2 linked regions of the Caenorhabditis elegans genome follow. Each later gene encodes a partner of the first gene's protein in a complex. Each region holds a gene or a part of one and is shown in the gene's direction. Other genes may lie near its edges.

Region 1 (7,970 bases):
GGCGGATAATGATGATAATAGAAAGAGTACGACCGATAATTCTACAAAAGGATCTAGTTTTGACATGTTCTCTCAATATTTTTCATTAAAATTTAGGAATAATATTTGTTATGTCTAAAAATAACTTATATTTTAGTTGGAACAATCGGAAAAGTGCTCAAATATTGTCTCAAAGTTTGAGATTTGTGAGCATCTTTTCAACTATTCCAACTTAAATATAAGTTTTTTCAGATAAAGGAAACATTATTCTATATTGCTAGAACATTCTAAAACTAGCTCCTTTTGTATAACTACCAGTATTCTGGAAACATATCATTTTTCAGGCGCCAAAAAAGCTCGTGGACGTCCACGTGGAAGTGTCAACAAGCCCAGACAAATGGTCAAAATGGAGCCACAAGACGATCGTTTCTTCGAGGAGTTCTTCATTGATGCGCCACCACTGCAATCAATGTCATCTAATGAAGAGCCAACTTCTTCAAATAAGGAATCCAATGAGTGCACGCCATTCAATGATATTCTCAATTGTCTGCAGAACGGTAAGCTATTTGACATAACATTTATCACTAATTTATTTTTATTTCAGATCCTATGAATTTCTGGTCTCAAATGCAACAAACCGGTGTTATCGGTCATTTCTGCGACGACATCATTGTCAGTGCAATCAATCTGAAACAATCCGTTATGGATAATCCTGTCACTCCCACCACTGCCAACATGCTCACTCGTACTGCATTCGCTCTCGGAATTCCACCTGTCGTTGTTCATCGTGTTCAATCGATTGAACGAAACGCTTACCAACAGCGGAAACATGACGAAATGTTTAACGATATTCAATCAACTTTGGCCGAGGAGCACAGTGTCAAATATCAGCCGAGAACATCATCTTCAAGTCAAGAGAGTCTTCACACTGCTCGAGAATTTACAGAAGAGAAGGTTGAGGAACTTATTGATGTTTGCAAGTACGACGATTATCCAGAATCTGAATGTCTTCCAGGACCTAGTCATATTCAATAATTAAACAATTACGGATTTAATCCACAAACGCACAAATAGTGTGTGCATTTTTTCGTATGTATTTTAGAACTTCATGTTTTATAGAATATAATTAAATTCTGATCCAGTGGAATAGCCCACTGCTTACTTGTGAGCTTTCCCCCCTCAACATACCGGTGAAAATTGTTTGTAGTTCTTCTAGAATGTTTCATGCCTTTATAATGAAATCGTGTTCATTTGAAATTTCTATTCATGTTTTACAAACTCTTACTCGTCACAACGTAATACTGGAATATCTTTTAATTTATGTTTATTTTTTTTATATTCAATTTTCAACCTCATTCTTTTGGAATTAAGACGCCTTCATCAACAACATTATTGATTGCGTCGACTTGATTCCAAAAAATGAGTTTCACACGAATACTCATCAAAGTGTCATGGCAACAAAGAGATAGAGACGAAAATATATCATTGAGCAAACAACAAGCTTTCAGAAGGGCACAATCGGTTTTCAGATGAATAGAATTTGTGCTAATCATCTGCTAGCGGATTTTGTTCTTGAGAGAGATAATACTCCGCTCATAAGTAAACAATTGAGAATTAAATTCGCACAAAAGCATAAATCTTCATTCGCGAATATTTTTATTACTGTAGGGTCTCGCCACGAACAGATATTTTCTGTATGTGTCCCTTTAATTGAACTGTAGCTTTATCGATCGGTCGAAGGCATCAGAAAAACTTTCTTTTTAAATATATATTTACTTCATAACAATTTCAATCAATTTGTGAATTTTTTACATTCTCTTTGGATTCTCAGTGTGCGAACTGCCTCGTTCCCGCGTTGACAACGAGAGACAAGAGTCGCAGACGACTAAACATCATTACGAAACTCCGGTCTCCCTTCGACCCTTTGTTTAGCAACGAGGACTTTTGAATTGAATTGTGCTTCTTGTTTGAATATATTTTATTTTCTCCTGCTTTCTATTATCTAAAATTGTGTTTTAATTACAGGGAAATGGATGTACCATCATCCAGCAACGTCACTGGACGCAGAAAAGTAAAAAAAGAAGAATGTTCTGCTTCTACCAAAAACGTAATGTTTTCAGAGACAAGTTCTAGATGATGACGAAGATGATGGCTTCAGATCTACCCCATTGCGTAAAGTTCGAGGAACTAAAAAAATTAGGCCAGCGGATGTGGTGCCAGAAACAATTATGACAAAAATTGGCGCCCATATCGACGATATTGTGAATAAGAAAAAAGTTGGAGAGCTCAACTGTTTCGAATATAAATCGCCGCTTGAAATTCATACAATCGAAGATATGATCAAAGCAAAAGCTTCAATCCAAGAGATGGCAGTTGTGCTCGAAGGAGCTCAGTGCATTATTGGTTATCGAGTCGATCGGCTTCACCACGACGTTCGACAAATTGATTCAGCTCTCTCGAGTGGTAATTACATTTTTTTTTTAATATTCTTGGAATTTATCGTTTCTTTTTATTACAGGAACTGTTATGCGAGATTCAAATGGTGAAGAAATTCATTTAACACTGGAAAGCAGAAAAGCTAAAAAGAAAATGGCTGTTGTTGACGGAATGAATGGAATGCTCGATTTTCTCAATAATATGGATGATGCTCTGACAACCACCGAACTTGACGCAGACAATGATAAGAATTGGAAAGAAGATGAGGAAAATATTGCCGGAGAGCCACGAATTGATTTCAAAGCCAATTCCAAAGATGTTGACGCATTTCTTCAAAGAGACATTTTCCCCGAAAAACTCATTTATGCATTGTCAATCAAACGAGCAACTGATCTCAGAGCTGACCTTCTCTCTGATGTTTCCAATTACATAAGTGCTGATGATACGGCTCATGATCTGAAAGACGCAAATATCGATTGGCTGAGAGCTAACCCGACATTTCAAAAGGCAACGAAAGGATCCGTGTGCAATTCATCAAACTCGTTCCATTCTCTTAATTATTATGGAATTCATTCTCCCGATGGACGAACTCTTATGTTGCATAATCGAATTGCCGATAAGAATGCTGATGATCGGTTTTTCACGTCCGATGTGTCTGTCTCACTTGTAAAAAATACACGAGCTCTCCTCACCAATTCATTAGACAAAAAGCCACGAATTCTCGACAACTACTTGATGCTCGAAGTCAAAGATCGCCCAGTTATTGGGAGATACAAAATAATGTCAAAGGATGTGAAGAAGTCAACGCTACCATTGGCGGAATCGTCTCGTGAGAAAGATCTCGCCAACTTGACATTCGCAGAGATGAATCATCGGCCTTCAAATCTGGATATGACGGTGGCAGGAGCATCGGATATGTCAATGCTTCCAGGAAATCAAGGATTACCACTCGCCCAGGGAGAAAACGATGAGACGATCGCTCTAGATAGGCTTACACCTCCTCTTCAGTCGTCTGTGTCACAGAAAGCGAGTGACGAATATGTTCTTCCACCTCTTGAAGCTGTAAGTTTTTTTGCGCGCCTCTGAATACATTTATGATATAAATTATTTTCCAGAATGATCTCGATGAGCATCTCATTGGAAAACTGCCAATTGAGCCGAATGAAATGGATCAAACATTAGCCAACATGTTTGATAAGAAGCTGGAAGTGTTCAACACATCTGATACACTTGAATCAAAAGTCTGGAAAAATGGAATACGTGCAGAAGAATGGGGTGAAGATGATGAGGCAATTATGAAGAATGACACGAAACATCCACGTCAGGCTGGAATCGAAGGTTGGATTAAGGCAACTGATGCATGGACCAACTATGATGTTGTAAAAATGAATGTAAATCGAGAAGCTCGTTCTCAATTGGATGAAAATGCGATTGACGAGCAAGAATCGTATAGAAATATGGTTCCGGAAATTGGAAAGAATTTGTTCTTGGTGAAATCGGATGATTATATGAATAACTATCCTGGAGATCGTCCAGCAGACTTCACAGTGAATGATGAAGTGTCTGATGTGATGAAAATGTGGTCTGGTGAGGATAGTACAGCTGAAGATGATGTTCCGTTAGAACAAATTCAACAAGAAATACGGGAACAAGTGCAACAACAAGATGTTGATATGGAGCCTATTGAGGAAATGGATTACGATGCCGGCGGTGCTGCTTTTGATGTAGACTTTGATGATCGACTTGCAGCTCCGGTTGAAGTTGAGGAAATGGAAGGAGATAATAATAGAAATGATGGAAGGGTGGCTGATATTCTTTTTAATGAGCAGATGGATGAGTAAGTTTCAATTTTGAATTGAAAGTTGATTCTGTTCGGTTTTTTGTTGCCTATAATGACAGAAGAACGTTTCAATATAGCAAAAAAAACCGTTATTCATTTAATGTAGATAAATGCAAAAATTTATTTTTATCCATTCTCACCTATTCATGAGTGTCGAAAAATGCAAAAAAATACAAAAACTAGACGAATAGGGGGGAAAATGTATAAAAATACATTTTTTAAAAAATTTTCTACATCACATGAGTAATGAATAACCACAACTATTTTGAGATTTCTTCAACAATTTTGCAAAAAAAGTTAAATCTTTTCTGAATTCCCGCGCTTCCCCTATTTTCGACATTTTGAGTTTCCGGCAATATTAATTGGATACTCTTTGCTTTTTTATAATTTTACCTTTGAAAAACGCTAGATTCAACATTTTTGAAAAGACTATCCACATTTTTTTTCAATTTCAGAACTGAAGTAGAAGAACGAAATGAGCAAGATGTTCAACGGGAGCTTGAGGACATTGCACTTGCAGCCGATGAAGTTGCAGAGTTGATGACTTCTGCACCACCGCCACAACTTGTTGGACCATCTGCAGAAATGCGTGAAGAGATTCAAAATATCGGAAAGAACGACAATGCTCATTGGGTTCCACCAGTCGTTGGTGATCAAGAGAGACAAGCAGCGGTTACAGCACAACGGAAACGGCGAGAAAAGAAAGCGAAGAGCAGAAAAGCCACTGTCGAAGATTTCGTTCATTACTTCCGTGACATTCCTGATGACGAGATTGAACGAGAAATTACTGCTGCAAAATGCTCTAAAATTGCTGATGAGAAGAGCACTTTCCTTTCGGAACAACAGTTATATCTTCCAACTTTGGGAATTGAAAACAAGCCGCATGTCGCTTTTGAAATGGGTCTTCTCGGTAACAGCGGGATGTTCTTCAAGAAATCATATGGGAAAATACGACTCGAACGTGTCAAAAATCAAAAGGCTGAGCAAGATTTGTTCATTGATGAAGCCAGAGGAAACAAGGATTCGGATTGTCTCAATTGGCTACTTTCATTCAGTGGATTCAGGTGCATGGAGTGAGTGTCTAGGATTAAATATATATAAAATTGTTAATTTTTCAGAAATCCGGAGCCTATCACTGGCTCTGACTCGGACGAGAATCTACGAACTGCCGTAGAGCAACCGTTTGATGACGATTTTGCCAACGATTATTACGTACGTTTCTGTTAAGACCTGCCGGTTTTCCTGTCGGTTTTCTGAATAATCGAGAATCGAAAAATTTTCGTTGTTGATTTTTCCAGTTAAAAAAAGCTCGTTCAAAAGTCCAAAAGTTTTCGACGATCGATACCGTTAAATAGCTCAGACGCGAAATGTTGCGACTTTAGAACAAAAAATACAGTACCCGGTCTCGACACGACAATTTTTTATAATGAAGCCGAGTGTGCGCCTTTAAAGAGTACTGTAGTTTTAGACTATCGTTGATGCGATGTTTTCGGTGATTTTTCTATAAAACAGATTTTTTAATTAAAAATTGAAATAAAGCACGAGAAAACAATTCCTTTTTAGTGTATTTACAGATTTTAATAAATAAATTTTATTTATTGAAAAATCAACAAAAATTTTGCAAAAAATGCGTCTTTTCGAGACCTTGATACCGTATTTTCGGAGAGAAAACTACAAAATAATTCGGCATCTAATTACAGGACGAAGACAGATACGATCCAAACTATGAACAACAACTCGCTGCTGCACAAATGGGTCCGGATATGCAGGTAAAATTAAGACGGAATATTTTTTCCAGTGCTCATTGAACATTTTCAGAGGAAACTAGCCTTGACCGCAAGTCACATTAATCAAATGTTCCCGAATATCCATTCCAAACGATACGGTGGTGAATACGGAGATTCAGATGATGAATTTGACGATGTAAGTTTAACAAAAAATTTATATTAAAAAAGTTTGTATAATTTTCAGTCATTCGATCGCCAGTCGATCCAGGCAAAGAATCTTGACGCCGCCAAGCACAAGAAGTGTCTCGCTGAAATTCTGAAGACTGATAGTCTATCGATGCCTTCAATTCAATATGTTCTGGAGCAGTTGACATCTAATCAGACTCTACGAATGAATAATACAACTATCCGAGCTGCCGATGATCGTAATGAAACCGGAAGACCTGCAACACCGACAATGGAGGCCGACAAAACGTTGACGTCAGTGTTTGACTATAGATCACCGAACAAATCGAATCACGATGTGAACGAAACGATGAAGGCACTAACAGAGATGCCAGATTATCAAGCAGCAGATGAGCGTCCCAATAATCAACCAACTACATCTACATATGGAACTGCTAACACTGAAAATAGAAAAGTGCATATAAATGGATGCCATACACTTCTTTCGTTGGCACTTTCAATGCCTTCCAGAATGGGAGAGACTGTTAGGCCCTCGTCTATCGTCAGCTTCCTATTGCATATTGCCAATGAAAATGTATGTTTAGTTTTTTTGAGTTTATTTTTTCAAACTCATTCTAAATTTTCAGAACTTGCAAATTGTTCAAGATCGATCAAAGCGATCCTGGATGTCTGATTTCATTGTTCTCAATTCAAGTGAAAGCCTACCACGTGGTCTGAAAATGGGAAGAATCGAGGATCAAGACGAGTTCTGGAAACGAACTCAAGATCCGGACGCCATCGAGGGTACGGCTAGCGATGCGAATAATGTGTTCTCGAATTTGATGCGACGTCCGAAGGCAGTACCAGTTCGTAAAGGTCGTGGAGCAGGTGGTCAACCTACAACAAGTGATCTCGGAGCAATCGTAGAAGAAGAAGAAATGGAAGAATAAGCATACTTTATTAAATTTCTCCATAAAAAATCATTTATTTTCGGTATCAAAATTGAATCTCAGAATCCACCCAATTCGATGTATTTATTCATTTTATCTCTCATTTCTCGAAACTCGAAGTTTCTTTATTTATTTTTCTCTCTCTGAATTGAGTACCCCGACACCAAAAATTTTAAGTTTTCTGTCAAATCACTCTTTACAATGAATATTCAATATGATATTCGAGCCATAAAACTTGTAGAATTCTAGGGATACAAAGACCCTTTCTGATTCTTCCGAAAAAGCATTCACTGATTCCATAAAAATTACGAATTCAGATGTATAGAAACGGGATCCGATGGATTACCACTAGCACGGCGGCTCTGAAGGGACCCAGAAATTATGTGAATCGAAAAACGGGACGTGGATGTGGAAATTCGGTTCTTTCAAGATTCGAGTGGAGATATGATAAGGTTCTTTGGAAATTAGATTGAAAAATATAAATTCAACTTTCGTTTATTACCCAGGCGCGAAATTTTGCGATTTTCGCGCAAAAAATACAGTACCCGGTCTCGAAACGACAATTTTTGTCTAAATGCGAAAGGGTCTGCGCCTTTAAAGGGTACCGTAACCGCGAGCTCAACGAAATGAGAGAAAAACTTTAGAAAATCAATGATAAATAAATTGAAAACATTTTTGATTTTTCGGGAAAAAAATTAGAAATCGAAAATTAATTTTTTGTCAATTTAAATTAACAAAAAATGTCAACATTTTTATCAAATTTTGTGTTTTTTTTTGAGAAAAATTACAAGAAACCGTTAAGTTTTCTTCTATAACGAAAAAGATTTTAAAATGTAGGCTGCTTTTTCGGAATTCAATTTTTTTCGAAATTTT
Region 2 (7,908 bases), on another chromosome or scaffold:
CTTCAACAGATGCTAGTTTGAAAAAGTATTTTATCAAGCACCTTATGCATTTTATTATTCGGTTTTCTGTAGGGAAGCAAGACGACTCGCTGAAATTTGGTGGGCAAAAAATTTGAGATTTTTTCCGCAAACCATGTACGTGCTGCAGAAACTTGATCAGAAAAATCCAGATGGGTTTAATTACACTGATTTTGAGGAAGAGGTTCAGGTAATAATTTAATCTTATTGTTAAACAAGGGAGAAATTTAGTACGTTTAGAAAGTGATCCCAAGGTCCTGGATACAGAACCATCATTCATTTACACTCTTGTCGCTGTTGAATGAAGAGAGCCTTTACGTGAAGTTCAACTTGATAATGCCCTCGGATTCTGAGAATATGAACAGAGTAAGCTATTATATTTTGATTGGTCAAGAAAGTAAATCAATATTTTTAAGGTGAAGGTCAACCAAGTAATTAAATTTCTCGGTTTCCATGAAATTGGAGACTGTGAGTTTTCTATGATCTATCAATATGTTAGTTCAAAGTCCGCTTCAGAATCTACATACAGCATCCACAAAGTGAGAGTTTTTTTAGTGGATTTCTTTTCAACTTCGAATTTTCAGTTCATGTGTGAAGACTTTCCGGGATGGGAGACACAATACAATAACGAAAAGAAAAGCATGGATAGGATCTTTGAGATAATTATTCAGGAGCAAAAAGTAAGAATGATTGAACATATATGAGAAAACATTTCAATGTTTTTCAGTTATTTTGGACGGAATATGATTATCATACATACAAACGCCATGCATACAAGATTGCTGTCCCGATGGTCTTCTCGCTTAACATTGTAGACAAAGCTGTTGGAGTTCGAAGTGATGCTCGCTAGCTAGTTAATGATAGCCCTGTCTTTCCCGTTCAACTCGATCTCTTTGAAAAAAATTCATTAAATCACATCAGAATCGCTCGAAAAAAAAATTTGAAGCTTTCAAGACAATCCCCAAAAAAGCATGCTCAAATCGTTATTTTGGAATCTTCAAATTTTCGGAGCATTTTTTCTTATTACGATGTTTTTTTCCTTAGCCAAATCTGTTTGTATGTATTTATCAGTTCCCGTTGATTTAATGTTTAGTTGGTAGAAATAAATATGAATAAAGTTTTAAGTTTCAATGTTTCGCAGTTGAAGAATTCGTAGAATCCACAATCCATCCTCCAAAATCGGGAGTTATTTTGTCAATGGCCAGTGTGAAGAAGCACGGAGTTTCAGCCGGATGAAGAGATCGAACACGCTGAAATTGAATGAAAATCTTAGTGATCCGAAATAAAAACATACAGCTGATAGCTCTTCGACTTTGCTTTCTACAGTTTTCAAGATCACGACATGCTCTTGATCTTCTTCAATTTTTCCTTGCCATTTGTATCTGAATATCTGGATTCTCGCACAGATTTAAAAAAGATAAAATACTTACACAGATGTGACTTCCGGAATAACATTGGCGCAAGCGGCTAATGCTTCAGTGACAGTTGTTCTGAAATGAAATTATGTTTTGGTAGACAGAAAACAAAAAAATACCTTGCCACAGTCATTGCAACTTCCTTACTCGGAGCTGTCACATACGCGACAACCATTTTTACAGCGGGTGTTGTCATTTTTATTTGAAAACTTATTTTATGTTGAAGCAATTCAGAAATGTTTAATTAATTACCGTACTTCATTCTAGCTCTCGTCGTATAATTAAATGTATGGGTCGCACTTGCGCGTCACGGTGTTTGCACACACTTGTATGCGCGCCAAAATTTTGTTCGAATTTCACCGCCAATAATTGTTTAGCCGCTGCTGTCCCACTTTTTGTTTTTGTTGGGAAATGTCTTTTTCATATTAAGCACTCAAATCCTAAAAATCAACGTATTTTAGGGTTGATGCCTCCGAAGACTTCGGCGGCGCCGCCACAATCAGACGAATCTGATTCTGATTTTGATGACGCTCCTGTTAAAAAGCCGCAGAAAAAGACAACGAAGCCTGTGAACCGACACAAGGAAGGATCAAAGGACCCGGAAGAAGAACTACAGGTATCCCTCTCAGAATATTTAAAAGCAGCAATAAAACTGAAATTTTTATTCAGAGAGCGGTAAATGAAAAATTTGATGGAAGCGACGGAGAGGACGACGACAGTGATCTTTTCTCATTGGTATGTTACTCTGTTTTTAATATTAAAGTCATTACATTTTACAGCAACTGCCATCGCGACCCGATTTCCTTACAAAACCGAATCGGGCGGATCGTTTGATGATTCGCAATGTTGAAGTGGACAATTTCAAGAGTTACTTCGGCAAGGCTTCCATTGGACCATTTCACAAAAGTTTCACATCAATTATCGGTCCAAATGGATCTGGAAAGTCTAATTTAATCGATTCGCTCTTATTCGTTTTCGGTTTCCGTGCTTCCAAAATTCGTTCTGCAAAAGTGTCAAATTTGATTCACAAAAGTGCTGGAAGAAATCCAGACAAATGCACAGTCACTATTCATTTTCAGCGGATCGTCGATATTGTAAGTGAATCAGAGAATCTAATAAAATATAAATTTGCTTTTTTTCAGCCTGGGCATTACGAAGTCGTCAAGGATTCTGAGTTCACAATCTCTAGAACTGCTTTTCAAAATAACTCAAGCTCATATGCTATCGATGGTCGACCGGCAACGAAGAATGAAGTTGAAGCACGCCTACGACGCGTTGACATTGATATTGAGCATAATCGTTTTCTAATTCTTCAGGTAAAAGTGACAATAAAACCGGTAATAAACATTTTTTTCAGGGAGAAGTCGAACAAATTGCAATGATGAAACCAGTGAAAACCACCAAAAGTGAAACTGGAATGGTTGAATATTTGGAGGATATTATCGGAACAAACCGACTCGAGCCCTTTGTTAAATTATTCCAGCGACGCGTCAATCGTCTTACTTGTGATCTTTCTCAACAAAGAATCGCTCGTGATCACGCCAGAAACAGCAAAGTAGCTATGGAGAATCCAGTTAGAGCTGCAATTGAGTTTCTGATGAAAGAAAACGAGGCTACAACGATTCATATGAAATTGGAGCAAAGAAGACGGTAGTTCTGAAATATTCCAGGTTAAAATAACATTTAACGTTTTAAGGCAACGATACCTAGATAAAATTGCTCCAAAACAAGCCGAACTTGACAAGATGAAAGAAGAAATGAAATCGATTGCTGAAACGCTGGATACCAACAAAAACGAATACAAACAATCTGAGGAAGCTCAGAAAGTTATGATTGAAGAGCGTTCGAAACTCGACAAAAACTTTGATAGTCTATCTAAGGAATTGAGCGACTTGGGCACTGAAGAGACTCGCAGGAAGGAGGCTTTGAAAAGGCATCAAGCTAATATTTCAAAGGCGGAAGCTGAGAAGGAAAAAGAGGTTAAAAAGCGATCAAATCTGGAAGCAGCACCCGAAAAGGCGGAGAGAAAAATCGCAAAATGTCAGGAAGAAGTGGAACAGTTGCTTGAAATAGAGAAAACAGCTAACGAGGAAGCCGACAAGAATCTTGATGAATTTGAAAAACGCTCTGAAGCGCCAAAAGAAGAACAAAAGAAGATTCAAGAGACTTGGGCGCAGAAGAGCAACGAATTTAACAAAGTTCGAGGTGAAGCAAGGATTGCACGGGAAGATTTCGAGGATTTAAAGAAGCTCGCGAATTCTGGAACGGATAAGCTTATCGAACTGAAGAAACGATTAGAATCTTCAGAAGAAAGTTATGCGAAAGAGAAGGATGAGTTAGATAAGCTGAAGCCGGAATTTGATTCTTGGAATGATAAGTTAAAACAACTGAGTACAGAATTGCCAACTCTTCGAAATACGGCAAGACAGAAGAATCAAGATGTAGGTTTTCAAAAAGCCTGATAAATTTAAATAAATCCTATTTTACAGTTGGCAAAAACGCGTGATCGTCTCGAAACTCTTCGCCAGCAAAACTCGTCTTGCTCAAGTTCGAATAAAGTTATTCAAGCCTTAATGAAGGAAAAAGAAGCTGGAAGAATTAAAAGTTTTCACGGTCGTCTTGGTGATCTCGGTGTCATTGATCCGAAATATGAGGGAGCGATTTGCACAAATTTCGGGGCCCGTCTCAACTATCTTATTGTAGGGAAAGAAGAAGATGCAAAAAATGTCATCAATTTTTTAGTTGCTGTAAGTTTTATAACCCTCATTTTCTAGGAATACATTGGTTTTCAGAATAAATTACCTCGACAAACTGTTCAGCCATTGGACAAAATTAAGTGTGATAAGAGAGATTTAGCTCCCAATCCGACGAACCCATTACCTGCTCCTCGTCTTATTGATCTGATTGATTGTGATCCTGTTCTTAAACCAGCATTCTATGATATGGTGCGTAGTGCAATTGTGGGCGATTCTACCCAGGAAGCTCAGCGAATGCATAGAATGCCCGCTTGTCGTGGTGTTACCGTGTGCACACTAGAAGGTTCTATGATTCACCCATCTGGATCATTCACAGGAGGTGGAAAAACAGTGAAAGGTCTCATTCTCACGGATAAAAATAAGATGGCTAAACAAGTGACACCTGAAGATAAAGCCGCTGAACGAGATTTAGCTGAAAAACTTGGAAAATTGAGAGATGAAGCTGATGAACTTAAAGGACAAGAGCATGAAGTAAGATATTAAAGGATAAAAATATAAAATATAACAAACCGATTTTTAGATGGACGGACAGCTAATCGAAGCACGTCGCAAAGTCGCTGAAATGAGTAATCGTTTGTCTATTGTGACTTCTTCAGTTCAATCTGCAGCTCCAGCAATTGAAACCCTCAAGAAAACGATCGCAAATCAAGAAAAAGAAGCAGCGAAAGTTAAGGTGGATGCGAAGACATTAGAAGATAAACAGAAGATTGTTGAGGAGCTCGAAAAAAGTAATTTTCCGTCATATCATCATGATTTGGGTAATATATTTCATTTCAGAACGAGATGAGTTGGGCGAAGAAGCTGCGAAAGTAAAAGCTCGTCAAGCTGAAATTCAGAGTAAGCTTGACGGAATCTTCAAGGAACTTGTACAATGTCATCGAGACGAAGCCAAAGAGTCTCTTCAGAAACGTCAAAAACTTGAGAAGGATATCGCCAAAGAAACTGCAAATATTTCCAATTCGGGCAGAAACATTGCAAAGTGCGATGAGAACATTTCCAGACACGATAAAGACATTGAGAAGATGAAGAAAAAGTGCGAAGAATTGATGGAGAAAGCAATCGATGATGAGGAAGTGAAATCGAAGAAAGAAACGGTTGAGCGCTTTGAAAAGCAAATCAAGAAGTTACAGACAAAAGGAGAGGAAATGACGAAGAAACAATCGGAATTGTCAGCTGCAGAGACGAAATTGGAGGGAGAATTGAAAAAGTGCAGTGAGGGAATAAAGGAGTTGAAGGAAAGTATGTTGGCAGATCGATTAAAGGTTGAGGATATTGAAAAGAAGGTTTGTTATTAATAAAAATCTATTAAATTAAATGTTCTTTTTTTACAGCTCGCTGCTTTGAAAGTTAATCGAATCCCACGATTCCAATTTCTCATCGAATCAAGTCGGCCAGAAGATCTCGAAATGCAAATCGATGATAAAATGCCGGTGGTTGATGAAAATCAGAGTCCAGAAGAAGTTGAACGACAAAAGAAGCATATGGCCTGCGTGATGAGTGACGCCGCGTACGCTCTCGAGTTCGAAATGCGACAGAAAGTGTTGGAAAACACTGAATCGTATGAGAATGTCGACGGAGAGGACCGGGTACCGGTCGAGCTTCTGTCCGACGAGAAAATCAACGAGATTTCGAGCCGAGACGCTGAAGAAATGCAAATGAAGCTGAAAGTGTGTGAACAACAAGTGGAAGCATTGAAAGCTAAAGTTGATATCTCATCGATTAAAGCTTATGTTGATAAGGTCAAGCAATACAATGAACAAGTGATCAAGTTGACAATAGCCACAGAAGTACATCGAAAACATAATCAAGAACTTCAACGAATCAAGCAGATGCGACTTGAAGAATTCCATGTAAGAAATCAGACGTTGATAGGTTTCTGATTAATTTTTAAAAAATATTTCAGTCTGCATTCGAATTCATTGGAAAACATTTGGTTGCCGTTTTCAAAATGCTAACTGACGGAGGAGATGCCAAATTGGAATACATTGATAAAGACGATCCATTCCGACAAGGAATCAGTTTTATGGTTCGCCCAGCGAAGAAAGCTTGGAAGCAAATTCAATTCCTTTCGGGTGGAGAGAAGACATTGTCCTCATTGGCTCTCATTTTTGCGCTCCACATGTTCAGGTACTAAATACTTTCTTTAATAATTATTATAATCCCTCGTTTAGACCTACTCCATTCTACGTTATGGACGAAATCGATGCTGCTCTCGACTATCGTAACGTTTCGATTATTGCCCAATACGTCCGACAAAAGACTGAAAACGCGCAGTTTATTATTATTTCTTTGAGAAATAATATGTTTGAACTCGCCAATCGTCTCGTTGGTATCTATAAAGTTGATGGGTGTACTCGTAATGTAGCCATTGATCCATTGAGAGTTTGTGAGATGGCGAAGCAAATTACGGACAGTTTGGGGCAGGCCACGTGTACTCTTCCTGATGAAGTAACTCAACGATTCAATGAGACAATGAGTCGGCAGAATAAGGAAATGATTGCACAAGAAAAACAATATCCGAACTTCCCATCATCAAATGAGATTTCAAAGGCCGAAAAGATTGTTAACGTTGAAGGACGTGTCAGGAAAGAATTGATTCAAACTACCCGAGATGTCACTTCAAGACCACAATCCAAAGCAACGACAAGTGGCGATGGAACTGAAAGACCGGCTAGTCGGTCAGCAAGTCGACCCGAATCTCGTATAAATCGTAAGACCAATGGCGTATTTATTATGAAAATGAAACAACTTATTTTTAGAAATGAAATATCCTGCTCCACGCCTTGTCGAAAGATCGTCGTCACAGAATGTTCGTAGCCCGAGAAAGGCACGAAACATAGAGGCCGATGAGGTTAGTTTCATTAAAAAATTTGAGACTCATTTTATTTCCCATTTTCAGACTACTCCACCTTCAAAGCGTTCAAATTCCGCAAGTACACCAAAACGATCTCCAATGAAACCGTTGACACCGTCGAGTAAAAAGAAGGAGAAGGCAATCGTTGATGACGATGATGATATGGAATAATTCATTCAAAAAAGTTCTATCCTCTTTTGTTTTGACGGGTATTAGTTCTCTGATCCCTCGACTCTTCCGTTTATTATTATTTTAAACTCGCGCAAATGATACTCATGTGCAATTCTTTAACCTCTCCCTGTTCAAGAAATCTCTCCCTTTTCCTTTTTATTTATTCTTATTCTCAATTATATTTAATTTGAGGGCCAAAGTTTGAGCCATTTTGCGTTGTATTTTTTTTTCGGCTCCAAACTGTAATTTAATGATATAATTGAGCTATGTGTCTTTTCGTTTGAAATAAGAACGTTTATCGGTGAAGCGTTGACTAGTATATCCCTCATGGTTAATCTGATTCAGATTTCCATTTTCACTATTTATTTTGTGGATTTTCACTGTAACTCGTGTTATGCATGTAATTTCAGATATGTCTACTTCTTCACATACCGTACTTCTGATTCAAACATCACCACGTCTTGATTCACGGACTTGGGGAGATTATGAGAGTGTAACTGACGCTCTTGATGGTAACCATTCCGTGAGAATTATTATGTTTAATGGAATTTTTCAGCTCTTTGCAAGATGTTTGAAGATTTCCTTTCCAAGAAATCAGCTGCTCCAGTCACATACGACGTGTCGCAAGTCTACGAGTTTCTCGATAAGCTCTCCGATGTTTCTATGATGATCTTCAATCGCGTATGTATTATTG

The links. Proteins that work in one complex are often made in the same cells at the same time.
Region 2: dpy-26 (region 1) and smc-4 share a complex: the UniProt entries of both Caenorhabditis elegans proteins name them as parts of the condensin I complex.

Annotation. Positions count from the first base shown.
Region 1 is NC_003282.8:12,445,329-12,453,298, reverse strand, and holds dpy-26 (Condensin complex subunit dpy-26), read left to right. Parts: upstream 1-1,963; 5' UTR 1,964-2,008; coding exon 2,009-2,050; intron 2,051-2,099; coding exon 2,100-2,442; intron 2,443-2,497; coding exon 2,498-3,477; intron 3,478-3,530; coding exon 3,531-4,252; intron 4,253-4,710; coding exon 4,711-5,328; intron 5,329-5,373; coding exon 5,374-5,467; intron 5,468-5,955; coding exon 5,956-6,024; intron 6,025-6,073; coding exon 6,074-6,178; intron 6,179-6,226; coding exon 6,227-6,742; intron 6,743-6,794; coding exon 6,795-7,097; 3' UTR 7,098-7,414; downstream 7,415-7,970. Other genes in the region: Transcription regulator spe-44, read left to right, coding at 1-26, 324-536, 584-1,014; C25G4.3 (Ribosome-binding factor A), read left to right, coding at 7,415-7,549. UniProt on the Caenorhabditis elegans protein: Required for both chromosome condensation and segregation and for X-chromosome dosage compensation depending on its binding partners.
Region 2 is NC_003281.10:4,585,607-4,593,514, forward strand, and holds smc-4 (Structural maintenance of chromosomes protein 4), read left to right. Parts: upstream 1-1,894; 5' UTR 1,895-1,899; coding exon 1,900-2,049; intron 2,050-2,102; coding exon 2,103-2,168; intron 2,169-2,212; coding exon 2,213-2,527; intron 2,528-2,575; coding exon 2,576-2,749; intron 2,750-2,790; coding exon 2,791-3,083; intron 3,084-3,129; coding exon 3,130-3,874; intron 3,875-3,922; coding exon 3,923-4,180; intron 4,181-4,225; coding exon 4,226-4,660; intron 4,661-4,709; coding exon 4,710-4,917; intron 4,918-4,966; coding exon 4,967-5,472; intron 5,473-5,520; coding exon 5,521-6,039; intron 6,040-6,092; coding exon 6,093-6,316; intron 6,317-6,360; coding exon 6,361-6,899; intron 6,900-6,948; coding exon 6,949-7,040; intron 7,041-7,088; coding exon 7,089-7,214; 3' UTR 7,215-7,518; downstream 7,519-7,908. Other genes in the region: F35G12.5 (SPK domain-containing protein), read left to right, coding at 1-25, 73-208, 259-384, 435-557, 603-698, 746-868; F35G12.7 (Divalent-cation tolerance protein CutA), read right to left, coding at 1,146-1,268, 1,313-1,400, 1,449-1,508, 1,553-1,629; erh-2 (Enhancer of rudimentary homolog 2), read left to right, coding at 7,627-7,726, 7,771-7,895. UniProt on the Caenorhabditis elegans protein: Central component of the condensin I complex, a complex required for conversion of interphase chromatin into mitotic-like condense chromosomes. The condensin I complex introduces positive supercoils into relaxed DNA in the presence of type I topoisomerases.